Linked DNA regions of Arabidopsis thaliana. The protein of the gene in region 2 interacts with the protein of the main gene of each other region in a pairwise test. Each region holds a gene or a part of one and is shown on either strand. Other genes may lie near its edges.

Region 1 (8,415 bases), on a different chromosome or scaffold from region 2:
TCAATTGTACTAAATAATTTTGCTCTTTTTTGGCAAAAATAAATTGTACATGTATTAAGTTGATATTGCAGATTCAAAAAATATTAACAAATGCCTAAATTTAGGTTATTAAAATAAAAAATAGTTAGTTAAAAACACAAGTATATCAATCCCAAATTATGATTAAATTAAATATTTATTTATAATAATTTTTACCAAAAAATAACATTATATATATTAAAATTTTTGAAGTACTTTTTAAAGTACTTTTGTGTTAGTAAAGTAAGAATTTACAAAGAATGTCATCACATTAAAGTCAAAAACAATTATTATTTTTAAAGAATATTAGTGATATATTTTACCTTTATGAAACATTATTAATATTTAAACATAAAAAATTAAAATATCATGAGACGGGAAGTATAGCAGAACGGGTTTGGATTGATAGGAAATACATCGAGACGGGTTTGGATTGATATAACACAGGTAAAATATTTATTTTATTATTTTATCATCACTAATTTTTTTAATTACAAGATTAATATAAAATTATATAACTTTATTACTAAATATAAAATTATAAAATTTAAAATTATTATATATATAAATAAAATATTTGTCCGTAGTGTACCACGCGTTGAATTATAATATGTTGTTGTCACCGACTCTAGCTAGGGCTTATAAATACAAAGACGCATAGGGTTTCACAACTTCATCACCTTAACACAATTTGTTCGCTCTCTAAATTCTTAAATCTTTCATCAAATTTGCTTCACAGTGAAAAACCTCCTCCACAAGGAACACACAATGTCTTCGAAGATGATCGTGTTGATGAGCTCCGATGGTCAGTCGTTTGAGGTGGAAGAAGCGGTAGCAATCCAATCGCAGACCATAGCGCATATGGTTGAAGACGATTGCGTTGCTGATGGAATCCCTCTTGCAAACGTGGAAAGCAAGATTCTTGTGAAAGTGATCGAGTACTGCAAGAAACACCACGTCGACGAGGCTAATCCTATCTCTGAAGAGGATCTCAACAACTGGGACGAGAAGTTCATGGATCTCGAACAATCCACCATCTTTGAACTCATCCTTGCTGCGAATTACCTCAACATAAAAAGCTTGCTTGATCTCACATGCCAAACTGTTGCGGACATGATCAAAGGCAAGACTCCAGAGGAGATTCGTTCAACTTTCAACATTGAGAATGATTTTACACCTGAGGAAGAAGAAGCTGTTCGTAAGGAGAATCAATGGGCTTTTGAATGAGCCCATGAATCAAAACCCTAACTAGCTTTCTTTTTCTTTTTTTCGTTTTTTAGTGTTTTCTTTTTAACGTCTTGATCGATTATGATAACTTTGTCTACATCTTTATTATGATTTGTGTTTCTTTTTATGAGAAAAAAACTTGAACCATGAATGACTAATCCGTAGGAAAGTTATCGGCCATGTCTATTAGTAGTTGCAATGTAGATAATAATGTGACAAACGGAAAGAATATTATGTGTGCTCTACATGGATAACAAATTTACATATAATCAGTACCATCGTCCATCACTTAGACTGCATATCACCTCTTGGGAGATGTAGACAAACAAACATTAAACTGCTAGAACACACTGAAAATACCACAATTTCTCACCAATACCCGATCGTCAACCTGACAAAAACAATTATCCATCACCAATACAACATTAAACTTCTCTATGGTTTTATTTGACTTTCTAGTCTATGAAATATACTTATGTATAGTGGAGTGCAACGATATCATTATTCGTAACTTCAATTGATCCTAGAGTTATAATGAACGAAGGACTAAAACAGAGCTGCTAATAATATTTTAGATCGATTTCAGAATCCACCAGTATCTAGAGCAAACTAATTGTTCTTCACTATGAACATCAATGTTTTACCAATCCATTATTACAAAGTTTTGTGATATCCATATAACTAGTCCACCACACACATTCAGAAAGATTCATGAACCTTATCACGAACTTACTTGATTGTCTAGCAGAAGTTGGAAAGGTAAGCTTGAGCTAAGGAGAGACCAAGCTGGACTTGAGCCTCGGTGGTTAAGTGAAGATTGTCGGACTTTAGCGGCAATCCCTTAGCATCTACACAGACCACATTCGACAGTTTCAGTCCCAACTGTGCTTCTCTCACCTTATCTATGTATCCTCCTCCCGATGCTATTGCCACCTGCTTCAATCAAAACCATCAAGATTAACCAATGGAAATCTGACCTACCGATTTCTAAAAGACAAAATCACTTGCAACAACTGATATGTACATTGTAAAAGCCTAAAATTACATAATCTGCAACTTAACTCTTTCACCAATAACACAACGTCACAACCTATGTAGATGTGACATTGGAAGCTAAAATCGCACAAAGGATAGAGAGACCTGAATAATGGGAAGAGAAGGAAGGTTGAGATCATGACGGAGGTTCTTAATCAAACGATCCATATTGTTCCCGTAGCTCTCGGCGTCATGGATGTCCAACACGTCACTCTCTCCTTGATACCACAACACCGCCTTGATCTCTCCGCCGCATTTCCTACTCTCCTCCGTTCTCTTGACCATCCTCTCGTACAAGTGGCTTCCACGCTCCCACTCTTTTATCGCCGTTCCACCGGAAGCGCACGGCACCAACCCGATCACAGCCGAATCTGTTTCCAGGCGATTCTTCACCGCGTTAGCGAACGCCATTCCTGGACCTACTCCACACACTTTACCTGTGTCAATGTCAACGTGTAGTGGCTCGTGTGCTTCTTCCCACCGGAGATCTGCGGACAGGCGGAGGATCGATGAGTTTGGTGCGCATTCCGGTGGAAGGATTTTATCCCACACCCAGCGATTGTTGTGGTGGTCTTTGAAGACGCCGCCGCGTCCTGCCATATTGCTTTGTCCAGAGAGTATGAAGATCTGATTTGGTGGAATTGGAGATTGGATCTCCGGTTTATCTTCACCGGGAGTGATAGATCCTCCTTCCATAATTTGGTATCTCTTTGGTAGAGTGATGATATCAGAATACACTATCGTGTGATCAGACCATAGAAATAAGCTATCGAGATGTCTTGTCTGAATAGAAAGTAAAGTTTGGTGGGGTGAGCATCAGAGTTGATCGGAGAAGATGATGTTGAGGCGTGGACACTAGAATCTTGGTCCGGTTTGGGTCGGTCTGTTTAAAAGTTTGGTTAGGAAGTTAGACCGAGTTAATTTTAAGTGATTCCCGTTGTGTTGGTTTAATTGGCTTCATCGGTTAAGATTCTAATTTTTATATAGCTTTTTGGTTGTGATATAACATAACAAAACAGTGAAACACATTCTAAACTCTAAAGTAAGAGTTAGTATTATGCGAGGGTAAAGTAAGCATTAAGCAACACATCTAAAACATACATAACACATAACTTTCTATATTGCCAAAACGACTTAGGCTATACGAATTAAGAAATCAAACTAAAACACAAATTTTCTCCAACACTTGCACCAATTCTTTCATGGATGGTCGCTTCTGAGGCAAGGAAGAGACACATTCAATCCCTAACCTAAAGCACGCCATTGCAGCATCCTCATGGCGAGCGACATCACTCCTAATTGCACCGTCGATTAACCTCAAGAACCGGCCATTCTCTTCCGCTGCAGAGTCGGATAAGTTTGAGAACTGATCTATATCATGATCTACCGAGAACACTTTGCTTGTGAGAAGTTCTAAAAGTATGACGCCAAAGGAGTAAACGTCCCATTTAGGGTTTGGTTTCAGGCTTGTGGACCATTCCGGTGGCTGGTACGGTGAGCTCGAAGTTGGTCCAGTGGTGTGAGATTCACGCGCTGGTGTCATGAGGCGGTCTAGCCCTAAATCGGTGATGATGGGCTCATTCTCAGCGTTCAAGAGAATGTTATTGGGCTTGATGTTACCGTGCACTTGTTTCTTCTCATTGATGTAAGATAGTCCTCTAGCCATTCCTCTTGCTATCTTGAGCCGTGCTTCAAAAGTAAGAGGGTTTTGTAATGACGACGAAGAAGATGAGCTTGAGCTTGCCTTAGCTGTTTGTGAAGGACAAAAAAACAGTGATGCGTATTTTAGAGTGCTAATGTGTACCAAATGACTTGCGTATTTTAGATATGATACTGTGTTTTTTTTTTCGTGCGCTTACAGAAACAGAGGAACTTACTGGCGGTGAAGAAACAGAGGAGGCTGCCATTGGGAACATAATCGGAAATGAGAAGTTTCTCGTCGTCTCCCCAGCAGAACCCACGAATTCTGACGAGATTTGGGTGACGAAGCTTAGCGATGGCACGAACCTCCCTCTCGAATTCCTTGGGTTTCGCAGCCGCACAGCTCTCCGTCTCGATCCGCCTCACCGCGAATGCCGTGCCGTTCTCCAGCACCGCCTTATACACGATCCCGGTTCCGGTGGTTCCCAATATGTAAGCAGATGCCTTTAGCAGAGTGTCTAGATCTAGCCGAGTCTCGCCGTCGACTGTAACCAATTGAGTTTGGGAGCTCTGCTTCAGTTGCCCACCATCTGTTCGAGTGAATGCCTGAACGGTTTGTTGATTCTCTACGTCGCTCTCTGATGTCGATGTCTCGTCGTACCTTCCTCCGGTCAAGATAATGCATGAACCGCATGTCGTTTTGGCCTCTGGTGATTCTGGGACTGTGACCTCAGTGGTGCTTGGTTTCGATTTCTTGGCTTCGTTTTTCTCCAGACAGAACTTGAAGAAGCTAAATTTGCTAGATTCTGGGTACCTTCTGCGTTTCCTGACTTGGTATACGTAGAGCACGAGTAGACCAATGAAAGCTAGACCAACTATATCTGCAACTGTGATTGCGGCAATGGTGCTTGGCTTTAGCTTGCTTTTTCCTGTCTGATTTGGTTTTTCTGTCAAAGGGTTTATTGGAGCTGTACTTCTTGGTTTAACTGCTATTGCTGGTGAAGTAGTTTCAGAGATATTTGGAGGGTTTGAAAGAGTGGAAGGAATTGAACAAAGGATCTTCAATGGCTTCCCACAAAGCTCTTGGTTACCGGAAAAAGACTCAGCCTTTTGGTTAAGTAAAGAAAGGGAACTTGGGATTGGGCCTGTGAGGTTGTTAAAGGAGAGATCGACTGTGGCATTTGCTGGAAACTTCTCTGCAAAATTTGGAGAAATCTCGCCGAGGACTTTGTTGTGTGATAAGTTCAAGTAATGCAGGCTTTTTCCTCCCAAATCCTTGGGAAGAGAGCCGTTGAGAAGATTTGAAGAAAGATCAAGAATCTGTGCTGCTTCGAAACCACTTGGAATATCACCTGAAAAGGTGTTTTTTGACAAGGAAACGACCGTTAGATTCTTCAGAAGTGAGATGTTGAGCGGAATTTCGCCAGTAAATGCGTTAGCTGAGAGATTCAAGAGCTGGAGATTAGTCACACTGTTGACACTCTTGGGCAAATCACCAGAGAGATTGTTGCTTCCAAGGGAGATACTCTGAAGCTCAGTGGCGTTGAACACCGAGTCCGGGAGTGACCCGTTGAAGAAATTGCTAGACAGATCCAAGATCCTTAGATATGGAATCGAGAACAAGTCCGGAGTGATGGAACCCAAAAGGTGTTTGTTGGGAAGTACCAAGCTTGTGACTCTGAACATGTCTGGTGTGTTAGGCTTCCCAAGCTCTGTACATGTGACACCTGTCCACAAGCATGGTGTTGCATCATCATAGTTCCAATTGCGTAGAACAGAGAGAGGGTCAGTGAGGATGGAGTATTTGAAAGTAAGCAGAAGAACACCATCAGTGTTAAGAGCTTGGAGTTGTGTGGGGACAAAAAGAAAGTGGAAGAGGACTAATGAGAACAGGAGGTTGCTTCTGTTGGAAGTCATGGTCTTTCAGTTCTTGGTTTCTCCCTCTCTAACTATTACATTTGGCTTTGCATTTTCATGGCAGAAAGAGAGAGAGATAGAGGTTGAACCACTCAAGAGATAAGTTGTTCTGGTCACCAAATCTATGAGATAGTGGAGCAATCTCTGAGATGGTGAAGGAGAGAGAGAGAGAGAGAATCTTAAAGAGCCGGAGTTGATAAAATAAGCTTTTGACTAGACTTGACATGGGACAAGGTGTAGAATCAATGATTCTTGATCATATTTATTCATTAGTGTAAAACTGTAAATGAGCAGCAGCAGCCATATTTTCGCATTTAAAATCTACTTCATTCACTAAAGTAAAAGCAATTCATGGGGGACAGAATAATTATTACCGCTTGCTTTTGGGTTATTTTTGGTTTACATGAAGAAAAGCTAATAAAATAAAGTTAAAAGTCTAAACTATTGCATTTTTTTTCTGGAACATTTCGGTCCATAGAAAGTTTAAAAGGATAATCACCGACTATTATTACGACTAAGTACAGTATGTAATTGAGTAATTATATCTCAATGTAGTACTTTCTCATCTTAGAACTTATAAGAGAAAACCCGTTATAGGTTTGCCAAAACAGAGGGTCTCGTATGAAATGAACCATACATTAATCAAAGACAAAACAAGGGACACCACAAAACTGACATGTCAGTTATCCTCATCTTTTTTTTTATTTTTTTAATAATCAAAATTTTGGAAAAATGACCTTGCAGAGTTTGATTTTTGTGTAAATTGTTCACACACTACACAAGTTGGCAAACTGAGTTAGGCCTAAACTGAATCTTTCGAAAATCGAAAAGTTAAAAATATGGTCATGAAATTATTCCTTAGTCTAAAGACTCTAAACCAAGAAAACTATTTAGCCATATTAAATGAAGTTATAGCTGAAAATAAAATTAAAAATATCTAAGAATTGAAAGAAGCCAAAGCAGTAGCACAATCAAGGAGAAAAAAAAAGGTTTGGAGAACAAACATGAAAGCGACGAGAGAATGGGCTATGACCGCATCGCTTTCAGTGTAGCCTGTGGACGAATATATAACAGAAACAAGGCTCGAAGTGGTCCATCTTATTTGGTTTTGAGTGAGTCACATAAGAATGAGAATAATTGATGCGAAATAAACGAGTGTTGTCCGAGAGAGCAACAGTCACACAAAACAATTTTGTAAATTATAGTTTGTTGATTAAGATAATAATTAGGCATAAACATAAATTATCTTAATACATATTTGCTTGCTTCATTCGCAACAAGTAGGTAGTTAGGACAATTTCTTGTCGTGTATAAGTAGCATAATAATAATATTCATCAAAGGCTTTAGTTGAGTGTTAGTTATTTAAGATACGTAATTTGTGTAAACGCGGAGAAAGTTTAAATGGTGATCATTAAGAATCTCACATGTGCATTATAAAAGGGGCCTATGGATATGATGGGGATTAAACCTAGTCAATTTCTAAAACACATAAGATAAGATTTTTTGGACGTAAGTAAAAAATACAATCTATAAAGTATATTCATCTGGCTGGTCCTAGACGTAACGATCACGGGTTGATGTCGTTTATACAATCTATAAAGTATATTCATTCTCTTTCTTGTTTTTTTTTAGGTCTAATGTTTTTTTTTTTCGTTTTCACTTCATCCTTACCCCAGTGTAAACGTCTCATCTATAAACCAAAAGCTGTAAAGTTATATAGTTATATACATCCATTCAATGCCTTGGTTTTTTTGGTCGGAGGCTGATAGCTAATAATGTGCCTATGGCCGATCTGATACCCCATAAAAGATAATGTCATCTTTTATTGTAGACAATGGATCTTAAATATTTGACTATAGCTATAAAATATGATCTTAAGCGGATTTAATCTGTCGACATATTTCATGAATATGCCATGATGACAACGTTAGTGAATCCCAAGAACTCTGCACATATTATATACGTCAAGAATGATGGTCAGATTGTACTTAAAGAATGATCTGAGAAAAAATATTTGTTTTGACACAGATCCAACATATTACTCTATATCTTAGTTATGGACTCCTCATAGCTGGTAGATGTATAGTGTTTTATTCTTTAAATTGTTTTTGAATTCTCTTTTTTTTTTTTTTTTCTAATCTGAAATTTTAGAAATATTAAACAATCATCCAACCACTTATTGTAAAGAAGAGGGAATCGTATATAAAGCCCAAAAGGGTAACGAATTATCGACTTCAAATATAAATATCCACGCCATGCTCTCTTGTCTGGTCCAATAGAGGTTCTGACATAGCACCAAGAGACATCTCTTTATCTACCAACTAAGCATTTGACTAAGTTGCACACATTTGTAATTTCAATTTGCACCACCAATTGTGTATCAACATTTATACATGAAAAAATTATAATCAACGGTCGTACATCTAAATTAGTCTTCCTTAACCTACCACTCACTTTGATAAACATGAAATCGTCAACGATGCATACTATTGTAAAAGATTCAAGGACCAAACACTCGCATCAAGTTTCTTATACCACAGCTTACAAATATTAACGAATAAAATATAATATGCAAG
Region 2 (9,166 bases):
GTGGATTCCTTTGAATGTGTGCTAGTGTTACTGATTCGATCATAAGGCTCAATTACTATCTGCTATTGACTGGTTTGGTGAAACTGGCGGTTGAATTATCTATTATAAGCTTCTATGGGTTTTTTTTTTTTGTCAACTGTGTTTAGTAGTCTTTGTTTGGCTATCTTATAGTACTATTTTGTGTCAGATTATGATTTGTTGATTGAATTTCATGAAACAGATTGGAGGTCAGCTTTGTGTGTGGCCTGGTTTGAGACAACTTTGCCTCAGGAAAAGCTTATTATACGGAGTAATGTGGTTATTATCCATGCCACTGAAAACATTGCGTGGAGCTAGAAAAACTCTTAAGATTACTCACTTTTGTAGCATTTCCAACATGCCATCCTCATTAAAAATCGAACTGGTTAGTATGCTTTTCATCTTGAATCTACTGGTTGAAACAACTCTGTAACAATCTGCTGAAGATATTATTAACGATCTATTTTACTGAGATGTTTCAGGTGCCCTGCAGTAAGGACAACTATGCTTATCTGTTGCACGATGAAGACACCGGAACAGTTGGAGTCGTTGATCCTTCTGAGGCTGCACCTGTTATAGAAGCATTGAGCAGGAAGAATTGGAATTTAACTTACATTTTGAATACTCATCATCATGATGATCACATTGGGGGGAATGCTGAATTGAAAGAAAGGTATGGCGCAAAGGTAAGAGGATACTATTTTCTGTTTAAAACTGTATGACCTTGTTTCTTGTGTTGTTTCTGCTCTTTGCGCAAGTTAGCCCTCTTTTTATTTTGTTTCCTTGGAGTGTCTCTTGCCTCTGATAGCTGTGAAACATTGAGCTCTACAATACAATGGTTTGGTTTTGAGATGTCGTAAAGTATTAGTCTTACCAGAAAAAATGGTTTTTTGGACCTTTTTGTTTTGCACCTTTGTCGAGTTGTTCTTTTCGTTTTTGCTTCTTTTATATATACTCAAGTGTTTTTATGTGACTTATGTTGCCGACAGGTGATTGGATCAGCTGTAGATAAAGATCGGATTCCTGGAATTGACATACTTCTGAAGGATAGTGATAAGTGGATGTTTGCTGGCCATGAGGTTCGGATACTTGACACTCCTGGCCATACACAAGGTTTGTAGCTGCCATAACCTCTACTGTAAAATACTAAGAACACATCTATACAGTCAAATATTGCCAACGTTAGAAACCTTTGGTGGATCACATATTAGTATCTTATTTGTCATTCTAATTTGTTATCCTCAATACATTACTGTGTAACTGCTCTCCTTTTTTATCGTTCTAGTGTAGTACAACTAGTAATTAATGTATACTTGGTGCCATGTTTTATCACTTAACTGTACTTATTCTCAAGCAGGCCATATTAGCTTCTACTTTCCCGGGTCAGCGACAATATTCACAGGAGACCTGATATATAGCTTATCCTGTGGTACCCTTTCAGAAGGTACCCCTGAGCAGGTAACATCAATTTCAAAAAGCAATATTTCAACCTTCTCGACCCTTGCACTGTTATGATTATTTTCTTGTGGCAAAAATTGTGCCAAGTGATTTGTGGTTTTCTAAATCATGTTTCTTTTTCAACCTTCATATCTTTTTACTGTTATGGTTACTTTCTTGTGGCAAACTGTGCTGAGTCAAATGGTATAGACTTTATGGAGAGATCACTTGGGACTTGGGAGTACTCTAATAACCGTACATTGTAGTTTCTTTCACAGAAGCAAACTTATTGTGCTCTGTCCTTTTTAACGAGAAAACCTTTTTTGCCTTATGACTCAGATGCTTTCATCACTCCAAAAGATCGTGTCTCTACCAGACGATACAAATATATACTGCGGCCGTGAAAACACAGCAGTAAGTTCCACGCACATAAATACTCTTAATTCACATTGTTCAACTCTCTTTTATATCTCCTCCATGATACAGGGCAATCTCAAGTTTGCTCTATCCGTAGAACCAAAGAATGAAACTCTTCAGTCCTATGCAACTCGAGTCGCCCATCTTCGCAGCCAGGGGCTCCCATCGGTAAAACCTCTTATCTCTTCCCTATCTCCTCTTTCTCTCTAAACCTCTCTCTAGATTTCATTTACTTACGGATTTGTTGTCTGTAGATTCCAACGACTGTCAAGGTTGAGAAAGCGTGTAACCCATTCCTCAGAATATCGAGCAAAGATATCCGAAAATCTTTAAGCATTCCAGACTCAGCAACCGAAGCTGAAGCATTGCGTCGTATACAGAGAGCCAGAGATCGTTTCTGAAAACTTGGGTATATTTTCTTATTTGTATAGAAAAATTTGCAAGTCAATCATCAGCTGCAAAGATCAATATTTTATATGTTTTGGGCTTTCTTCAGTTATCATTTGAAGTTGTGTATTCAACACAAAAAAATCTAAATATTTAGTTTAAACTCAATTATTAAATTATGAGATTTTCAAGTGTAATGAATGCTTCAACATACATACACAAGTGTATAGATAGATACGGTTTAGTTTCTCTCTACAAGTGCTTACCAAATTTCTAACAATGGAAATCATATGTTTGGTGGATTGATGGAATTGGCTCACCAAACGTGAAAACGCAACCGTGCGTCTACGATTTAATATTAGCTTTACTAGATTTGTTTGTAACCAAGGAATAATTATACAGATAATTTACATAAATTAAGTCAAATCCATAGATTTATGGCAAAAAAGTGTGAATATTAAATTATAATTACACAGCCGAAGAATAAAGGAAAACGCTAAAAGGTTGCGCGAGTGGAGAGTCTGCCCGCCAAGCAACCCCTAGTATTCAGCTTTTTGTGCACTGATCCAACTCGACTCGGCCTTTTTCTCTGAGTTGACTCGACCGAGAAAAGGCGATAGAGCTGGGGTTTAATTCGGCGATAACAATGGACGAAGATTCCGTCCATGGCGATTCTCACCTCAAGACATGTGTCGTCCTCGGCGGACGAGGGTTCATTGGTCGATCGCTTGTCTCCAGATTGCTTCGTCTCGGAAACTGGACAGTCCGAGTCGCAGATTCCGGTCACACTCTCCATCTTGATGAATCCGATTCGCTCCTCGAGGATGCTCTCTCCTCCGGCCGCGCTTCTTATCACTGCGTCGATGTTCGTGATAAACCTCAGATCGTTAAAGGTTTTCCTCTTATTTCCTGTTGCACTTTGTTAGATATGACATTGATGGATCGGTTTTTGGTATCTAGAAAATGCTATGGGGGAGTGTTTGGCTATTTGAGATTTTCGGGTTCTGATTTGAGTTTTGGTGTGACTGTTTTGTTCCTTGCAGTTACCGAGGGTTCCTATGTTGTATTTTACATGGGAGCTACTGATTTACGTTCCCATGATTACTTTGACTGCTACAAGGTTATAGTTCAAGGTAAAGTTCTTAGTCACTTCAAGATGGTTTACCATTATATTAGTTAAACTTGGGTGGTTAATCGATTTCTCGTATAGGTACAAGAAATGTGATTTCTGCCTGTCGTGAATCTGGAGTCAGAAAACTTATCTACAACAGTACAGCTGATGTTGTTTTTGATGGTTCCCAACCTATACGTGATGGTGATGAATCCTTGAGACGTCCTTTGAAGGTAATCCTTGAGCATGTTTGTTTAGTTGGTTTTTGTCGTTGGTCTTTTTCAGAGATGATATCTGTTTTGCTCTGATTCTCTTGCAGTTCCAATCTATGTTGACAGACTTCAAAGCTCAAGCAGAAGCGTTGATCAAATTGGCTAACAACCGAGATGGTCTCTTAACTTGTGCACTTCGCTCTAGCATTGTATTTGGACCTGGTGACACAGAGTTTGTACCTTTTTTGGTGAATCTAGCCAAGTCCGGATATGCAAAGGTCTTACTATTAGTTCATCCCATTGTTGCGTTTTTGCGTCTACGTTTATTATCTTATTATACCTGGTAGTATTCCTTGAGCTTGATGCATTCTTAGTTTTCCTTTTTTGGAGGAATGACTGTCTTAGTTTTTAAAATTTCAGTTTATACTCGGGAGTGGTGAAAATATCTCTGATTTCACTTACTCGGAGAACGTTTCTCATGCACATATTTGCGCCGTTAAAGCATTAGATTCACAGATGGAGTTTGTGGCTGGAAAGGTAACCTCTTTGAGTCAAAGTGTATTTGCCAAATCACTCCTGAAAGCGCATGAACTTTATATGTGATGAATTTTTACTGTGCCGACTTTATGTAGGAATTTTTTATCACAAACCTCAAGCCGGTCAGATTTTGGGACTTTGTAAGCCATATAGTTGAAGGTCTGGGATACCCAAGGTAAATAAGCATCCGAACAGTTTTTGATACAATGAAACTTGCTGTGAACTCCTTTTATCTTTCTGTTTCCTGATTATCAATGTAGCATGGGAAAAAGGCTCCTCAGAACTTCTGAACCTACCTTGAATGTTCCCTTCTTAAAGCAAAAGATCTTAATTTTCTGTTGATAGATGTCCTGGAGACATGTCTAGAAGAACCGTTTCGAGAACAGCCATATTCAATTAGTTTTTTTAGATATAAACTATCTATACATGGTGATTCGCTGATATTTAGTATTTTATACATGGTCGTATATGTTTCCTTCTCCTATGTCTTAAATATTGATCATTTTGAAAAGTTTTAGATCCTTAGAGCTAACTTTCTGGTTTACCTGTTTTGATATTTTTTTTTCCTCTTTAATTGCAGACCATCCATTAAACTTCCTGTTCGGCTGGTTTTGTATGTTTTCTCACTTCTTAAGTGGACACATGAAAAGGAGGGCCTTGGGAGTAATTATGACACAGCACATCAGTATGCTCTGTTAGCTTCATCAACGAGAACTTTTAACTGCAATGCAGCTAAGAAGCATCTTGGTTACACACCTGTTGTGACACTTGAAGTGAGTTTGTTGGATAGTATTTTGGCTTTTTGCATATTCAGCTGCTTAGTACCTTCCTTGGATTTATTAGCTCTTGTTGGATTTGTAGGATGGTATTGCATCAACGCTTCAATGGTTCTCTCGGGATCTTGAGAAGTCTGATGACACAATCATTCAATCTACTGCAGATCAGCTTCTTGGTTGTGGGAAAGGTTAGAACCATCTCGCTATTAACAATTATAATGCCTTTTTGAAGTGTTCTTGGCTAAGTATTCAGTTGTATTGCTTGAAGTCCGCATCTCATCTAGCTATGGATATGATGATGCATGTTCACAAGGCTTAACCTGGAAAGAATCTATCTCTATTTTCAACTTAGATTTGTTTGCTTCTAGATGTCTAGAACATGCTGAAGTATCTGCTTGGTTAATTTACATCTTCTTCCAGTCCATGTAATTTCATGCGAGTTCCAACTTTATTTCATGCACATATAAACAAACTCAAAGCGAATCTGGTCAATGCAAGCTTTTAATATTAATCTCTTTAAACTGACTTAGCTTTTCATCTCTATGTTCTCATGCAGTTGCAGACATCTTGCTGTGGAGAAATGAGAAGAAAACCTTCGTTTCTTTTCTTGTCCTAAACTTGTTTTATTACTGGTTCTTCTTTTCTGGAAACACATTTACTTCATCTGCAGCCCAACTTCTGTTTATATTTGCTGTTGCTCTCTATGGAGTCTCTTTTGTGCCGTCAAAGATGTAAGTATTGGTTCCAGAACTTTACCATTATAGAAGGCAGTGAAAATAAGTTGTGATACCAAAATTGTCCTATCAAAGGATGATGCACCCATGTATATATATTTCACCTTTGAAATCTATATGCAACTAAGTGACAGATTGATTTATTTTGACAGTTTCGGGTTTCAAGTCAACAAAATACCCCCATGGAGATTTGAGATCTCCGAATCCGCTGTGAGAGATCTTAGTAGTGATATCGTAGTTGTCTGGAATCAAGGAGTTCGCAGTTTTAAATCCTTAAGCAGTGGAGGAGACTGGATCAAGTTCTTCAAGGTACAATTCTACTCTTTATGCTCACCAAACATGAAAAATATCTCATTGCTCTCGTTTCCTAAAACAAAACATAAAAACAGATTGCAGGATCACTGTATCTCCTCAAACTGATTGTATCCCGTTCATTGGCAGCATTTCTTTTCACAGGTACTCGAACAAAGCTTTTGTTTTCACACTTCATAAACATGATTAACAACTTCATAAACATGATTAACAACTTCTTTATCCATAACATTTTCTCTACGCTTTGCTTGGACAGTTATGTCGTTCTCATTCACCGGTTTCTTCATCTACGAGCAATACGAGCTTGAGCTCTACCACCTAGCCCGGATATTCGTCGAATGCTTAACATTTATTAAAAGGATGGTGATACCTGTTTCTGATGCTTCATCTAAACCAATGTTCATGTGAAGCTTCCAAAGTCCTCCACTAAACGAACACCAACAATCCCAGAGACTAATTGCAGTTATTAGATGTCTTATGTACAAACATTATGCTATCAGGATGTAATCTTCACTGAGAGGGGATGGATATATGATTATTTACGAATTTGCCATAACTACTATCAAAATGCACCGTTTTGATCCGGTTTCCAAAAAAAAAAGAAAAAAAAGGAAAGTATCCTTATATATCCTTTAAAAGCCGCCGCTTCGATATTCCCTGGCCTCTCTTTCTCTCACAATCTAATCTTCTTCGTCTTCAAACTCAATCTAGGGTTCTCTTCTCCTCTCTGTAGGTAGGATTTTGAACACCCAAATCTCTCATCGAATTTTTCTTGCTCAACGTATCATCGCACAATTCGTCTCTCGTTTTCCGTCACGTGGATAATCGAAATCTCATAATCCCAAAGGTAAAACAATCAATTCTGGGATTGGAATTTTGGATCCATAGGATCGTCAATTGAAACAATCCCGATGGCGTTATCTATGAAGCCATTCAGAGCCGATGATTCCGGTTTCCAGTCAAACAATCTTTGGGTCGGTAGCCTAACGCCGGAGACGACAGAGTCAGATCTGACCGAGTTGTTTGGAAGATACGGCGATATTGATAGAATCACGGTGTATTCTTCACGAGGCTTTGCGTTTATATACTACAGACATGTGGAGGAAGCAGTCGCAGCCAAAGAGGCTCTTCAAGGAGCAAATTTGAATGGAAGTCAAATTAAGATCGAATACGCACGACCGGTTTGTTCTTATCTATATCTTCGTTTGTTCTCTAACTTTGATTGTCTTTTGTCAACGATTATACTCTTTTTGCGAATTCATAGTCCAGGTTCACAAAACTTTGATGATGCTTGTTTAGTCCAAAAATTTCTTGTTGAATCTGTTTTTTTTTTCCTCATCGTACAAATCAAAGTCGAAACCTAGTTTTTTTCTATTATACGTCGTTAGCTTAAGGCGAAACCTGATCCGATCGAAACGTCTTTTCTCAAATTACTTTGGTTATATCGAACTCGCGCAAAGCCAAACCACAGAGAAGCTCTGCAAAATTTGATGTTAAAGCATATATAACTCTTAGCGAATGAGCTCTGCAAAAGAATACATCAAACACATGTTTACTCTCGTTTATGCGAAGAAGGTTTAATCCGATTGTCGTTTATCTGCAAACTTGTATCCGCGTTTAGCAGTCTGATTTCAGGTTCGCTTCAGATGTTAAATCTCACAAGCTTGAGTATGAATGTATTGCGTACTCCACTCGAAATTCGCAATGGTGAAAATTTGGAAGCGAGCAAACTCTATCATCGGCCAAACAGATAAGAAATTTTGGAGTTTAAAAGTTCAGTTTCCTGCAAAAATCAAACCGCGTGGAGAAATTTGTCTATGGCGGTACGTAGATATCAATAACTGCATCTGCGAAACAGAAAATTCTGGCAACCGTATCGTCCTAACTCCTAGTATCGCTGGCACATATCCATATCAGTGTGAGGGAGTTTTGGGCTTGTTTTGGCTCGATGCTTCAGGAAGACAAATTACGTGGTTGTTAAGGCGGCTAACTCTACCAATCAGAAACGCTTTATTCGAAGAACCATGTTTGTTCCTCAATTCCCATCCCTACGTACAATCTGGGCTTTCCCATTGTAGTTCCTTAGGAAGTTGACTTCTTCACAACCATTCTGGGATTGGTACAGTTGCAGTGGACAAGACAAATATTCATTTGCAGGCAGACTCAAATTTCAATGTCTTGCCGGCTTTGAGTACTTAAATGGAGTGTTCAGGGATTGGTTTATTTGGGACTCAGGCAATGGATAAAGACAGGAATGTTTTGCAGAAAGTATTAATGTCTTTCCGGCTTTGGGGACTACATACTTCTCCTACAGACAAAATCTGATGTTTAGGCAAGAGAAACTATTAACACTGATTTAATAGAGAAAGAGGAGATGGTTTCTCCTTGCGGCAATTTTATTTGTTTAGGAAAGCAATTGATATGAATTGGTGTCGTAGTGTAGTTGAAATTACTAGTTAGTTTGTGTGTTTAGTTTCCTTGATGTTTGATGCTTTATTCTTGGCAACCTATCTGGGTAGTATCGCCTTCTTATCGACCTTTTCTTGTTGCAGGCAAAACCTTGTAAGAGTCTATGGGTGGGTGGAATCGGCCCTAATGTCTCCAAGGATGACCTGGAGGAAGAGTTCAGCAAGTTTGGGAAAATCGAGGATTTTAGGTTTCTCAGAGAACGCAAGACAGCTTTCATTGATTATTATGAGATGGATGATGCTTTACAGGCTAAGAGCATGAATGGAAAGCCTATGGGTGGTAGCTTTTTGCGTGTTGATTTTCTCCGGTCACAAGCGCCAAAAAAAGTAAGCACTCTTGTGGCATTTGATTTTTACTTTTGAAAACGCTCCAGTAAACATTTTGTTTAGTTTCATAATTTGCGTCAAACTGATAGGGCTGAGCTCTGTCTTGTGCCCCTAGGAGCAGTATTTACTCGTCTCTATTTCATTGTAGAGTAGGCTCAACTTCTTAAGTCTGAAATCAAGTTACCTTTGTGTTATCTTCAGGAACAATGGGCTGGCTCTTACGATAACAGAAATGGCAATATGAATCATAAACCGCAGGTTAGTCTTGAATGTTGAAAGTATGTCTCTTGTTACTAGTGATATGTATAGGTTACTGGTTTTGACGTTTTGTTATATTCTTACAGTATCCTCACTCATATGAAGACTTTAAAGGAGATGTCCAGCCAAGTAAGGTTCTGTGGATTGGGTTCCCTCCTACTGCTACACAATG
Region 3 (7,777 bases), on a different chromosome or scaffold from region 2:
ATATATTATCAACTTATTGATGTTGTCTTTAGCCTATATTATTATCTTATTGATGTGTTCTTTGTTTGAATATGTTATTATTATATTATCTTATATTGATACGTTCTTTGTTTGCATATATAATCATCTTATTGATTTGTTCTTAGTTTGCATATATTCTCATCTTATTGATTTGTTCTTTGATTGCATAGCATATATCATCATCTTATTGATATGTTATTTAATTTGTTTGCATATGTTATTATACTATTGATATTTTGTTGATACATTCTTTTTTTGGTTGTTGTGCTTCTTGCATTCAGACGCTTGCATATCTCAAGACGATAGATTTGAGCTTCTCCAATAATTTAGTAGAAGTTCCGGATCTTTCAAAGGCAATAAGTCTCGAGACATTGTGTCTAGAAGGTTGCCAAAGTTTGGCGGAGCTTCCTTCCTCTGTCTTGAATCTTCATAGACTAAAATGGTTGAGGCTGACTATGTGTGAAAAGCTAGAAGTTATACCGCTTCACATCAATTTGGCATCTCTTGAGGTCCTTGACATGGAAGGATGCTTAAAATTGAAAAGTTTTCCAGATATTTCGAAGAACATCGAAAGAATCTTTATGAAAAACACAGGGATAGAAGAAATACCTCCATCAATTAGTCAATGGTCTCGCCTTGAATCCCTTGATATTAGTGGCTGCCTAAACCTCAAGATATTTTCACATGTCCCCAAGAGTGTAGTGTATATATACCTAACGGATAGCGGTATTGAAAGGCTTCCAGATTGTATCAAAGATCTCACTTGGCTACACTACTTATACGTCGATAATTGTAGAAAACTTGTGTCACTGCCAGAGCTTCCAAGTTCGATCAAGATTCTATCAGCAATAAATTGTGAATCACTTGAGAGAATATCTTCATCTTTCGACTGTCCAAATGCGAAAGTCGAGTTCAGCAAATCCATGAATTTCGATGGAGAAGCACGACGAGTAATCACGCAGCAATGGGTTTACAAGAGAGCATGCTTACCTGGCAAAGAGGTTCCTCTGGAGTTCAGTCACCGTGCCAGAGGAGGTTCCTTGACCATCCATCTAGAAGATGAAAATGTTTGTTCTTCATCTTTAAGATTTAAGGCTTGCATCCTACTTTTCCCAAGCGAAAGGAACAATATTTGTACTGTATATTGTCGTCTCATAGGTGAAAGTGGTCGTCTCATCGCAGCACATAGATTTGGTGGAGTTGTCAAGGACTTTGTCACACCGCATCTGTTTATATTTAACTCAGTCTTACTTGAAGAAGTGGATGTGATACGGTTTGGATTCAGCAGCATACACCACGAGATTACGGAATGTGGTGTACAAATATTGACAGATGCATAAGCATTCGGGAGCTATCAGGAACTTCTACAAGATGTCGGAGCGTTCGAAAATGAAAAAAAGTACTTATGTTAAAAGTTTAACTTCATTTCAAACTATATCCACTAAAATACTCGCACGTTATGTTGTGTTATTAGTGCTTCATTATTGGTTTTATTTTGTTCAACAATAACAACTAATAATTGTGGTGTCAAGTTTACGCTTAAGCCTTTGATTTGTTCTTGCAAACCCCGTACGTGTGATGTTGACAGAGATCGGTAAGGTTTAAGACTAATTTTCAATTCAAGATTTATCAAAACTTCTTTTAATAGTGACTATTGTAGATAAAATTGCTCGAGCCAAAGTGTTAATATAAACAACAGAAAACAGTGAAAAGGTGAAGGAACACGTGTTAATTAAGCAGGGCACATCATGGTACGTACGAACGGAAGGTAATGAAGTTTTTTGAGGTAAAAAACGTCAAACCTCAAAGGTCTTAGTATTTGTTAACAACAAAGGAAACAAAACATAATGTGTCTCACTCCTTATCCCCTCCCCACCTATCTTCTTCGATCGGGCTTACTTTCACTACACCCAAATATATTCGTGGCTAATTCTAATTGTTGATTCTTTATTCTACTTTTACCCAAAAAAACTAAAAAAATTGTTGGCGAAAAAAAACAAAATTTTGTTATTAAGACTTACCATTTCTCATTGACTAATCTTACCGGAACATAGATAATTTTGCATTCAATTTTTTTATAATATATCTACGCAATATATTCAGGGCTAATAATAATATATCTTTAAGATAGTCATGCAAAATTCTCTTGCAATCGTACGTAGTTATTATCAAATACAATGGCTTCAAGCATGAAATTAGGCAACTTACTTTCATCACCGATCACCATTTTTTTTGTTTTTTGTTAATAATTAATTCTATGCCACATTTTTTCTGATCTGAATGATACAAATTTTATAATATTTTATCAGTAGTAATTTGAAACTGTGTATATGATGTTTCTTTCATTTTAAACCTCATTAAACATACTAACTGCTTATTCCACTGCCAACATGTAAACATTAGTTTGGATTCAATTGAATGAAAATGAGAATCATATATTTCCATTTAAAGGTTTCTGAAAGTATGAGCTTAAAGCTTTAGTTGTTGTGAAAGATAATTAAGGTGGGAGAAAAGAAGCGAGAAGCCACAAGGACACTAATATGATGCCTATTTTGTATGGGTACACATGCACATGCTTGCACATGTGTTCCGGCCAATTAGCTCTTGTTTTTCCATGTGGTTCGGTATCTCTATATACACTCATGCACCCAATATATATTACACGTCATGGTCATTAGCCATCGCATCCATATAAGTCTTCATCATCCAATCCACGATTCCACTCCCTTCAATAATGCAAAATCTTCAACAGTTTTGTGTTTCATAAAGTTTTACATTCTGTCCTTGTCCAATGAAGACACTTACATAAATGTATAAGTTTTAAAACAAAAGCAAATCATTGAGACATAAATGGAGATAGTATATATGAAGAACAAAAAGAAAAGAGAAGGAAAAACTGTTAGTGTAGGCCTTCTTCGCATTTGACAATAATTTGATCGACATTAGGTGAAATGACGTTCTTGCCCACCAAGTCATGAGCCTTCAAGGACTCTTTGTTCCAATCTGTGTTATAAACAACGGTCAAAATGGAGATTGCACAAGCTAGCTGTGCCCCAAGCAAGCCATAGCATAGGCCCATGAAGCCTAAACCCCACACAAACGCTAAAACAACCGCCACTGGTGCTCCAACTACATAGAAGGCGTAGAAATTAATCTTGGCCCCTATACCTGGCCTCGCACTGCCACGTAAGATTCCACAGCTAATGGTCTGAGGACAGTTGGCAAGCTCACAAGCTCCAATCACCGGAATAACCGCCGCCGTCAGCTCGAGGACAACTTTGTCGGCGGTGAAAACTTTTCCCCAAGCTTCTCTCCCCACGGTGGTCCCCACAAGTCCAAACACTGACACTGCCACGGCGGCTCCGACAGCCACAGTCGCCGCTGTTTTTGCTTTCTCTGGCCGTCCTGCTCCTAACTCGTTGCTTACCCTCGTGGATACCGCGGCCGAGAGGGCCGTTGGGATTGTATACATCAATGAGGTTGTTTGTATCACGATGGCGGCTGCTGCTAGCGCCACCTTCGGCTCGGGGAGATATCCAGCGAGGACCGTCATGAACTCGTACCACCACCACTCCAAGCAAACCGCTATACAGCTCGGAACAGCGAATTTAACCAGCGTTGACCACACATCATTTTCACCGGAGTCTCTCGAACCATACAGCATCAACGGCGTATCAAGACAAAGAGACTTGGAAGTGGTTTTGTCGTTGTTGTTGTTTTCCAAGTAGATGTAGCAAAGGAGAAGCGACAAAGAGATGAAGTTGGTAAGAAAAGAAGAGACGGCGACTCCGGGAACTCCGAGAGAGATGTAAAACGTGAAGAAAGCAGTAATGGGAAGATGAAGAAGGACGGAGACTAACGTGCACCACATCAAAGGCCAAGTGGTGCCTTTACAACGTAAGTAAATACGTAAAGGATGAAGGAAACTATTAGCGAGAAGATCAGGCAAAGAGAAGGAACAATAGAGAGATGCGACACGAGTGATATCATGTTGTTGGCGGAGCATCAGCATTAGAGGCGCGAGGTTTAGCCAAAGGAGTGATATGGGAAGAGAAGCTAAGAGAAGGAGGAAGATGGTTCGCTTGAGGGTTAAGGAAGCGAGTGAAGGGTTTTTAGAACCGATGGCTTGACCACATAATGGTTCCATACCGGTGGCTAAACCAGAGAGGACGGAGTAACCGGTGATGTTGGTGAAACCGATGGCTAAGGCTCCTCCTGCGAGCTCAAGGCTACCGAGTCGTCCCATACACACGACGGATGTCATGTTCTTTAGGTAGTTTAATATGCTCATGGCGGCCACCGGAAAACTTATGTCCCAAATTCTCTTCAGCTCCTCCACCACCTTTTTAAATATTTTAAATAAAAAAATAATAATTATAAGAGAGGAGATATTTGAAAGACTCTATCTGAGGAAGAAGTTTACTAAGAATAGAAGTTTTAGATTTAATTTAGTACCTCGGGCATTGTCGGGTTGTACTTGTGTTGGAGATTTATGAGACGTGAATCTTCTTCGACCACCATTGTTAGTGTTTGTTTATTGAGATGAGAGATTTAAAAAATATGAAGAGAAGATGCCATTTTATAAAGAAATTTTATTTGTTTTGTTTTGTAACATGGAGTTGGGTTTGGCATGGTGGGGGTTCCCAAAATATTGATGTCATTATTTGTTATCCATTTTTCTTTGTGTGGACTCTAATATATACAAGTATAAATACAAACTAAGTATAGTTTGAGAAAAATATAGGATATTAAGTTCAAGATTTAATCGTATATCTCTTATACTATCAAAGTTCGAGATTTTTTTATTTTTTTATTATAGTACGACTCTCAATATCCTACATTTTTATTAAACAACATATTTCTTTATTTTTGGTCAGAATTAAACAAAAGAATGTATTGACCTAAAAGAAGTACGAATCCAAACCTGATTTTGTCGTACAAAAGCGTCACATAAACAAACGAAAGTATAGGCATGTGGAAATTTAAAACAACAAAAAAAAAAGAACAAAACTCAAATCAAATTTCTTCTCAAGATTCTGTTAGTACAAAGTTCCATTTATGATTATCTCTTTATTTAATCTTTGTTAAGAAAGTGAGTGTATATTTTCTTTGGTTATAAAAAAATCATGCATATAGGCAATCTAAATTAAACTAAAATAGTGTTCGGAACATACAATTGTTATCTAATCCATAGTAAATATGAATGCATCTCCGGTGAAACAGTATATATTTGGCCTAATAAATTTGTTAAGAAAGTGAGTGTATAGTTTCTTTGAGTATCGGAAAATCATATAGAGAATCTAAACTAGTGTTCGAACATACAATTGTTATCTTAAAAAATGCATTTACCATGAAATAATCTTTGTGTTGAAAAAATATTAACCAATAGATTACTAACACTTGATTTTAGATATCGAATTTGTATTTCTCCTGAGGAACTACTCTCTTTTTTTGTCCATGATAAAATGTAAGAAATTGAATATGTTAGTTATAAAGGCGTAAATATTATTATGAATATTTTTGAAACTTCGTGTGGTTTAAAAAGATGCATAGAACTAACAACAACCTTTCTAAAATAAAATGTGATAAAAGATATTTATGAAGCTCAAACTAACGATATTAGTAGAAAGTGATATGATTGGTCCATCAGTCTAGAAATGAAACTAGTTAGAATTAGGTATAGCGCAATGTGTTGTCTCCCTCTCACTGTAATTATCAACCCAAAATCGACTTGAAAATTATGTATACCTTTCCTTTAATTTTTTCCCTTTTCCTACTTATTCCCACTCCACTCCCTATAAACTAGTGACATTTTACATCTTGTCTCTGCTTACGTGGATAAATGATCATCATGACAATCGAAAACAATATATATATATATGTGTGTGTGAATTAGCTAGATAGCCCATGTGTGGTTTTAATAAAAATATGAGAAGTTTGATTACATATATTTTAACATTATAAACTACTGAAATACAAGATTGATGCTTTTTTTACCAGGATCTTATTTTATAAGTTCTATAGTGATGAATTATATCATATGAGTAGTGAATTTTTTTAATTTTCATATATTTAAATTATTATTGAAGTTATTTGGTTTATTTGATATATATATATATATATATATGCTAAATACACATATATAGAAATTGAGGAAAATGATTTTTAATTGAAAATACTATTATATATGTAAATCAGATTTTCATATCGATCGTTTTCATAGAATTTGCAAGCCGTTCCAATTGGTCGATATTTGGCCACAAGATATGATTTTCGCAGATGTATAAAATTTATACACATCTTCATACCGTCAATTTTCACACACATGAATCATGATTCATGCATGCTTTCATACGATTTCATGTGTAGTTCTATATAAAGATGTATAAATAATCTTCAAAATCTGTAAATACGAGCAGAAGAAAGTTGTGTAAATCGTGGGGGAAACTAAGTACTGAAAGAAAAAACATAGACAAGTAGTGAACTAGAAGTACCAATAGAGACAGAGTTGTGATGTTCCCATCACAAAGGAAACATATCCTCTCTCCTTTCGTCGCTTATATCTTCTTCTTCTCTTCTTTTGCTTTTTCCACACGTGGCTATTTTTACTTGCTTCCATCTCCACCGTTGATCTCGATGCCCTTTCAATCTACACGTAACATATGCATGGACATATGCCTAACCTATATCTATACTATGCATCGTCTAGTTCGTGTGGTATGAACTTTGTCTCCAATAGCAAGCCGTCGCTCTTCTTTTGCTTCCCCACTCATAGTTTACTATTCATTTTTTAATGTTTTCTAATATGCTTGCTGATAAAGATCCTTCCACTGATATTTTTGTAGCTGGTTTATACGAGATGCATAATTACTAAATAACTAGATTTTAACCCGTGGTACACCGTGGAGACAATTTATATTTTAAAATTAGTATATATAAAATTTTGCTATAAAATATTTTTATTTTATACTTTATATTTGTTATTAAGTAACGTCCTGCTAAATCGCGTCCCGCCAAACCCATCCTGTAAAAAAATCATTATTTTATTAATGTTAATCTTATTTATGATATATTTATGAATCATTGTCTAAATATTTTAGTTCATGTGGGACGTATAACTCACACATTTTTTGCCAATTGATTAATATATGTTTATTTTTAAAATTTCGAGTCACAAAATATGACGGAAAGAATTAAGATTTTTTAAAACTCTATATATTATATAATAATATTAAAAAATTATGATATATTAAACTTTTTATAAGTTTAAATATTAATAATGTTTTATAAAGTCTAGATATATAAATAATAATATTTAATTTTTTTATATTTTGAGCCTTTTAAGTAATGACATAATAATTCTAAAAGCAAGGATTTAGAAGATTTAATATTTTCATTCCTAAATAATTAATGTCAGTGTCATTACATTGTAAATAAGTTCAAATACATGATTTATTTATTTAAACAAAAAACGTTTAGTAAGAATAATATTTGTTTTAACAAAAAAATTTGTTTTAAAATATTGTTAACAAATATGTTTATGCTAATTTTAAGAGATTGATTTGAAGTTTGTTTGGATTAAATTTGATTGATAATGTGATTAACAATTTAAAGTAAAATTAATTATTTTGGAGAAAGATTTAATGCTAATGGCATTGAGTTGTAAATAAGTCCAAATCCACGATTTATTTGTTAAAATGGTTGCAAAAATGTATATATAGATACATCCCAATAAGTTATGTTTTCTTATTTCTGA
Region 4 (6,813 bases), 1.9 Mb from region 2:
CTCCCAAATTATACAAAAGCATATACCCCACATTAGTATTTCATTCCTAGGATACTTGTAAGATCCAAACACAAATTATATAGTAATCACTAGATCCCGGATATCATCTACACATTAATACCTAAAATGATAGTCAAAGCAATATGAATTAAAGAAGAAAATTATAATCAGCATCTGTAAAAAAGTTATATACATGAAACAAATATTCAACCGTTAATCTCAAAGAGAAGAATATAATGAAAGGCAAGAGTTGGCAATTATATTATTACTTTTACTATAAGTGTAAACTCATAGTATTATATTTGTTTTTTTACTATAAGTGTCAACAAGGCTTTCTATAAGTAGAATGTATAAAGGCAACACTTTAGTAAATTGGTTCAGTCTAAGAGACTGACTATGTGGAATTTTTTATTAATACAAAAACTCAACTGGCTACATATATAAACGAAGAAACAGATGTTCCCAATAAAAAAAACTTTAAAAAAAAAAAAAAAAAAATAGTTCAAAAAAATAAGGAAAAGACGAGTAAATATGAAATTAATTAGAGTGGACGACTAAGGAAGCGTACATAAATACGAGGGGAACTTAAGACATTCTTCTTCTCTCTCACTGTCTCTCTCACACACACAAACTCGTAGCTAGCTTCTATGGCAACCCTTTTTTCGTAGTCACCAACATATAAATCTCTTTGATATAAGTGAAGAAGTGTGATATATAGTATATAGTATATACAAATATATATGAGCATGTGCAGGTCTAACATGGAAAGCAGTGAATCTGGAGAGATTATAAATGGAGAATGCGATGTTTCAACATCCGTCAAAGGAGAAAATAGCGGCAGCGCCAAATTCTCTGCTGGTCTCCGTCGCATCCCTTTCAATGAGGCTTGTTTCTTTTTCTTTAATTTCTCTTTTCTTGTTCTTACATTTTCTTCAACAAAAAAATTCCAATTAGCTTTGACAAGTCATCACTCTGCTTATTCTTTGATTTCATAGTTTTCTTGTGTTTTTGTTTGTACTACTAGTTTTCGTGATCAGGACCATCCTAATATAGAGACGTTTGCTACGTTTAACCAGAGAATTTGGTGATTTTTGATGGATTATTATATTGTTTTCAGTCACTTTCGCAGTATTTTTTGGGTCTGGTAAATAATATGTAGTTCTTGGAAATTGATCTTATACTGGATTGAATGCTTCTTTTGACTGTTTTTATAGCATTTTAACCGAATATAATGCATCCCTTTTAAAAACATAGCATGAATAATGCTTCATCTATCTTTCACGTACTTGAGAAATACAATGTTGAAAATTCATTTATATATAAGTTTTCTCTGTATATATATATATATATATATATGTGTATATATGTTCATATTTATGCCTAAAGCGTTACTACTTACTACTAGTATGATAAATCCTCACTTTCATGGACTGAAAGAGATGCTTTTTGTGTTGTACTTACTTTATATTTCTTGACAGTTGGGTTGTACTTACTTAGGAAAGTGTTCTATATAGGTTTCCTCTCACTCTATTCTTTTTATCAGTTTCTTTACTTAGTACAAATATAATCTAGTTACTTTCCGATTTATTTTCTTGAAATCCTTATCCGATTGTTTATGAAATGTCAATAGTAGTTCATGATACTTTTACAAGTATCTATGCGTAAAATATTTTTTATATGTTTTTAAAATGTGGATATTCTTAATGAAGATATCATGAAATGAAAGGTAATATCTAAGCTGATTTTGTTTTTTCAAAAAGAAAACAAAAAAGGTGAGCTTTTAAAAACCCATGATGATTTTTATTTAAAAAGATCCTAGAATGTTGGTACAGTTAGCCATTCGCTTTTCTGGCACTTGTGAATTTGATTATATATTCAGTTCTAAAAGTTATAGAGTTTAAACCTTTTTCTCTTCCTTTTTCAACTTTCTCATCCCAGTCCCAGTGGCCATGTGATGCGACCATCTTCCTCGTGCTTACAAATTGTTCTTAATTTTATAATATGATAAAATATCATTTTCCGTATTGTAATGTAATGTCCTTCTGTTTCACAATAAAATTAATTTAAGATTTTATTTGACAAAAAGAAACAATTAAGGTACAATGATTTTTTTAATAACTCATGTATAAAAAGCTCATATAAATACCATTTTCATACAACTTATTAGAAAAGAAATTTGTTTGTTTATTGTGATAAAAATATTAATAAATGATATACCAGAAAATTTAATATTTTTAGTGAGTGCAATATCGTTAATTAAACGAAATTAAATCACGTACAAAATATTAAACATGATTAAAAAAGGATATTAAAGACTAAATCATATTTTGAGGATAATTTTTTTTTTTTTAATATACAACATACTCGTGTTGCGCTCTTTCTATACACTAATATCTTCTCGAGTGCGTTTTGCTAGAACTAGAAGCCTATAGAACATGTGAAAAAATAAAGAGTTGTTCAATTGAAAAACCTAACAAAAATAACATAATTTTTTAATTTTATTTTTCCCATGCAGGTGGGAGAGGAGATGGCGTCACTCACAAAAATAGCTTGCCCGATTGTGATGACATCACTCCTCATATTCTCAAGATCAATAATCTCAATGTGGTTCTTGAGTCATCTCGGAAAAGTCGAACTCGCTGGTGGTGCACTCGCTATGGGCTTTGGAAACATCACTGGAGTCTCCGTACTTAAAGGCCTTTCCGTTGGTATGGACCCAATCTGTGGCCAAGCCTTCGGAGCCAAACGTTGGACCGTACTTAGCCACACGTTTCAGAAAATGTTCTGTCTCTTAATTGTCGTCTCTGTTCCAATCGCCGTTACGTGGCTCAACATCGAACCCATTTTCCTACGGTTGGGTCAGGACCCAGATATTACCAAGGTAGCCAAAACCTATATGCTCTTCTTCGTCCCTGAGCTCTTGGCTCAGGCCATGCTCCATCCGCTTCGAACGTTCCTTAGAACGCAAGGCTTAACATCACCGCTCACGATATCTGCCATTGTATCCATTCTTCTTCATCCTCTCTTCAACTACGTCTTTGTCGTGCGTATGCGTTTAGGCGTTAAGGGTGTGGCCATCGCAATGGCTTTCAACACTATGAATATCGACGTGGGACTGCTCGTTTATACGTGCTTCTCGGATTCTCTAATCAAACCGTGGGAAGGGCTCGCTTTGCGGTCACTTTTCCGCGGCTGGTGGCCGCTGCTTTCTCTAGCCGCACCAAGCGCTATCTCGGTGTGTTTGGAGTATTGGTGGTATGAGATCATGCTTTTTCTTTGTGGGCTTCTTGGGAACCCTAAAGCAAGCGTGGCCGCCATGGGAATATTGATTCAGACCACCGGGATACTATACGTAGTCCCGTTTGCTATTAGCAGCGCCATTGCAACCCGTGTAGGTCACGCTCTTGGAGGCGGCCAACCAACACGGGCACAATGTACGACCGTGATTGGCTTGATACTCGCGGTAGCGTACGGTTTAGCAGCTGCTGTTTTTGTGACCGCGCTTAGGTCGGTTTGGGGAAAGATGTTCACGGACGAACCGGAGATTCTCGGGCTTATTTCGGCTGCGCTTCCGATCTTGGGGCTTTGCGAGATTGGAAACTCGCCACAGACGGCTGCTTGCGGAGTCTTGACTGGGACGGCTAGGCCTAAAGATGGAGCACGCGTTAACCTATGCGCATTCTACATTGTGGGCTTGCCTGTGGCAGTTACGACCACGTTTGGGTTTAAGGTTGGGTTTCGTGGGCTATGGTTTGGACTGTTATCTGCGCAGATGACGTGTTTGGTAATGATGCTTTATACGTTAATCCGTACGGACTGGTCTCATCAAGTGAAGCGGGCAGAGGAACTTACCTCCGCTGCAGCCGACAAAAGCCATTCGGAAGACGAAACCGTCCATGCTGAAGTACAAGACGATGATGATGTGAGTAGCAATGATCTGGAGATTGGTTTACTACAAAATACGAATTGACTAGTTTAGCTAGAAATGTTAAAATTATCAATCGACAATTTTTAACGGATTGTTAATGATATAGGAAACTTTTTTTTTTTGGCAAACTAAAAATACCGAAGATAGATTTGTGTCCGAACTGTTAACTAAGATTTTGTGAAAAGACTCAGCCATTTAATTGGTTGAGCTTAGCTTTTTCTAACACGCAGAAGTATGTAGTGAGAACAGTTGTGACGAATCTATCAAGGATCAATCAAGATCAATCACAATTCTACTTATGTAAACTATATATTCTGTAATTAGAAGTCTCTAGAACATCTAGTCTGTATATAAACAATGTAAATCATCTCAATACAAATCATCCAATTCTATATTCTTTATATGGTATCAGAGCATCATCGATACCTAAAAATAAAAAACCTAAAAACAGCCGCCTCTCTCCTTTCTTTCTTCTTCTCCCCCGTTGATTTTTTTATTCCTCTGTTTTTCAAACTTCAACCATGTCGAATGTTTCTTCTGAAACCGTCAACCTCAACAACACCTCCATTGTTCACATGAACATGTCGAATGTGACAAAACTTACGGCCTCCAATTACATAATGTGGAGCCGCCAAGTCCACGCTCTCCTTCACGGCTACGGTCTCACTCAATACCTTGATGCGACAAAAGCTGCTCCAGCTCGTGAGATTACCGTCAACGACGTTGCCTCTGTGAATCCTGAGTATGAAGCCTGGAGTAGACAAGATCAATTGATCTTCAGTGCTCTCATCGGCACTCTCTCTCTCACCGTCCAACCAACGGTGTCCCGCGCCGCTACCTCTGCTGATGTTTGGGCCACTCTTGCTGGTACCTATGCCAAACCGAGTCGTGGCCATATCAAACAGCTCCAACACCAAATCAAACAATGGAAGAAAGACACCCGCACCATCGACGAGTACGTTCAAGGCTTTATCAATCGATTTGATCAGTTGGCATTAATTGGCAAAATCATTGACCATGAAGATCAAGTTGATTACATTCTCGGGGGTCTGCCAGAAGACTACAAACCCATTGTTGATCAGATGGAAGGACGTGACACACCACCAAATGGATGTTTAACAAACAGTTGTGACGAAGATGGATGTTTTATCCAAATGGCTTTGAATAGTGTATAGAACAAGCAACAAGCCCGATTCGGCCCAAACCCAACCCCATTTAATCATATGTGGTTTTAGTAGTTTAAATAAGCTACTTTGAGTCTTTGACAACTGTTCTTCATATCCATCATAAATTGTGTAGCATTTTACATTTTACATTTTACGTTTGAAACTTAATCATAAGTTTTGTGAATCAAAGTTAATTGATAAAAAATCACTCTTAATACTTTTCCACGTCTACATCACTGTCATTTTCATTTCAGACTTGAGGCATTCATTTTTCACCATGTTTCAGGAAATATACTGCAATTTCTTACACGTATAGAGAGGTCCTTAATAAGTATGAGTAGCTATATCGTAATGTATTTATACCAATGTACTTTATGCTCACACGTGTTCGGTGTACATATAATATGTTGCATGTGGCATTTCGGTGCCTAATTATCAAGTTTTTACCGAAAATAAGGGAAAAGTATATAATCATGTAGCCTTTCAGACACCGACAAAAATTTTAAACAGTAAATACGATTTTTCTGTTCTTCTTAAACAGAAAATGATTAAACATGAATGAAACTTTTAAAAGCTTATTTTGACGACGTGTTCTTTAGCCAAATAGACGACATTTAAACACATCACCGGACCGGAAAAACACCAGTTGAAAATAAAATAAAAAATGTATTTGTAAAAGTCTGTTATTACAAGAAAATATGGTCGATCGTTCCATGTTTAATTGTGTTTCTTGACACTTTTTAGTTCTTATAAAACACCTTTACTACATAACTTGATAAGTTGGATGAGAATAAAGAATTATAATAGATTCTCATAAAAATAACTTTATAAGATATATTCTCTCTTATATATATATATATATATATATTATGAGATTTCCTAATCTAAAATAAAAATAAATGTAAATAATATATATAAATATTACTAAAACTAATATATGTTAATATTTTAAATCTTTCTACAATCTTTATGATTTTTATATTGTTCGACGATCATCTCAACCATTGACTCTCGATCTCCAACTACAGATAAAGTAAAATTTTACCAAAGAAAAGTCTAGTGACTCATCATACCAATAAAAAACACACAACACCTAGTTTTACCAAAATAAGACTAGAAATAGTACTATAGTAGTTATGGGACGATGGAGTGATGGTTTTGCAAAGCAAAAGCCAATAATTGTACATTTCAGGCCGAAACCGACAATGACCCCATCCTACCCATGTGTCATGCATTCAGTATTTATTATGTGTATCAGTCAAATTTTCACATAATGACGAACCATCTACATACAATCTATGGCGTGGCCTGTGGAGGGCAGGACAAACCGACATAATATTGTGTATATCCACTGAAATTTATTATTAAAAAAAACTAATACAATGATAAGTACTAGTATTAGTGATAAAAAAAACTTATACAACGTTGTTTTCATCTTACAATTAAAGATATTCATAAACGATAAATCTCTACTTCGAAATTTTTTAACATCTCCAAATGTTTGTTCAAGCTAGTAGTAGTCCACATAAAGTCACGTTGGGGTTTCAGGCTTTCGTTAAAGATTCACACCGTCGGATTGGGATTTCCAGACGTCACAGATAGACTTATCTTCTTCGTTAAATTTAGAATCCAAAGATTATTGTCTGCACACTCGTTATTATCTAAAACAGCCTTTTTTAGTTAAATTGACGATATTTTAGTGACATTCCAATTTTAAAA

Evidence for each region.
Region 1: the proteins of AT2G43420 (region 2) and AT4G34220 interact in a protein complementation assay, tested with the Arabidopsis thaliana proteins (one large-scale study listed by BioGRID).
Region 3: the proteins of AT2G43420 (region 2) and AT5G49130 interact in a protein complementation assay, tested with the Arabidopsis thaliana proteins (one large-scale study listed by BioGRID).
Region 4: the proteins of AT2G43420 (region 2) and AT2G38510 interact in a protein complementation assay, tested with the Arabidopsis thaliana proteins (one large-scale study listed by BioGRID).

The regions. Positions count from the first base shown.
Region 1 is NC_003075.7:16,378,217-16,386,631, forward strand, and holds AT4G34220 (Leucine-rich repeat protein kinase family protein), read right to left. Parts: upstream 6,253-8,415; 5' UTR 5,839-6,252; coding exon 4,158-5,838; intron 4,030-4,157; coding exon 3,437-4,029; 3' UTR 3,257-3,436; downstream 1-3,256. Other genes in the region: SK11 (SKP1-like 11), read left to right, coding at 787-1,245; AT4G34215 (carbohydrate esterase, putative (DUF303)), read right to left, coding at 1,987-2,178, 2,386-2,976.
Region 2 is NC_003071.7:18,028,676-18,037,841, reverse strand, and holds AT2G43420 (3-beta hydroxysteroid dehydrogenase/isomerase family protein), read left to right. Parts: upstream 1-2,659; 5' UTR 2,660-2,905; coding exon 2,906-3,152; intron 3,153-3,302; coding exon 3,303-3,392; intron 3,393-3,469; coding exon 3,470-3,603; intron 3,604-3,689; coding exon 3,690-3,860; intron 3,861-4,002; coding exon 4,003-4,119; intron 4,120-4,214; coding exon 4,215-4,294; intron 4,295-4,699; coding exon 4,700-4,892; intron 4,893-4,980; coding exon 4,981-5,083; intron 5,084-5,451; coding exon 5,452-5,626; intron 5,627-5,781; coding exon 5,782-5,938; intron 5,939-6,018; coding exon 6,019-6,085; intron 6,086-6,197; coding exon 6,198-6,349; 3' UTR 6,350-6,574; downstream 6,575-9,166. Other genes in the region: GLX2-1 (glyoxalase 2-1), read left to right, coding at 221-403, 501-704, 1,008-1,131, 1,376-1,476, 1,795-1,869, 1,942-2,040, 2,127-2,273; FPA (RNA binding protein), read left to right, coding at 6,853-7,122, 8,494-8,736, 8,938-8,994, 9,081-9,166.
Region 3 is NC_003076.8:19,912,669-19,920,445, reverse strand, and holds AT5G49130 (MATE efflux family protein), read right to left. Parts: upstream 4,575-7,777; 5' UTR 4,543-4,574; coding exon 4,477-4,542; exon of another isoform or gene 4,364-4,476; coding exon 2,921-4,363; 3' UTR 2,479-2,920; downstream 1-2,478. Other genes in the region: AT5G49140 (Disease resistance protein (TIR-NBS-LRR class) family), read left to right, coding at 303-1,361.
Region 4 is NC_003071.7:16,121,476-16,128,288, forward strand, and holds AT2G38510 (MATE efflux family protein), read left to right. Parts: upstream 1-2,509; coding exon 2,510-3,970; 3' UTR 3,971-4,060; downstream 4,061-6,813.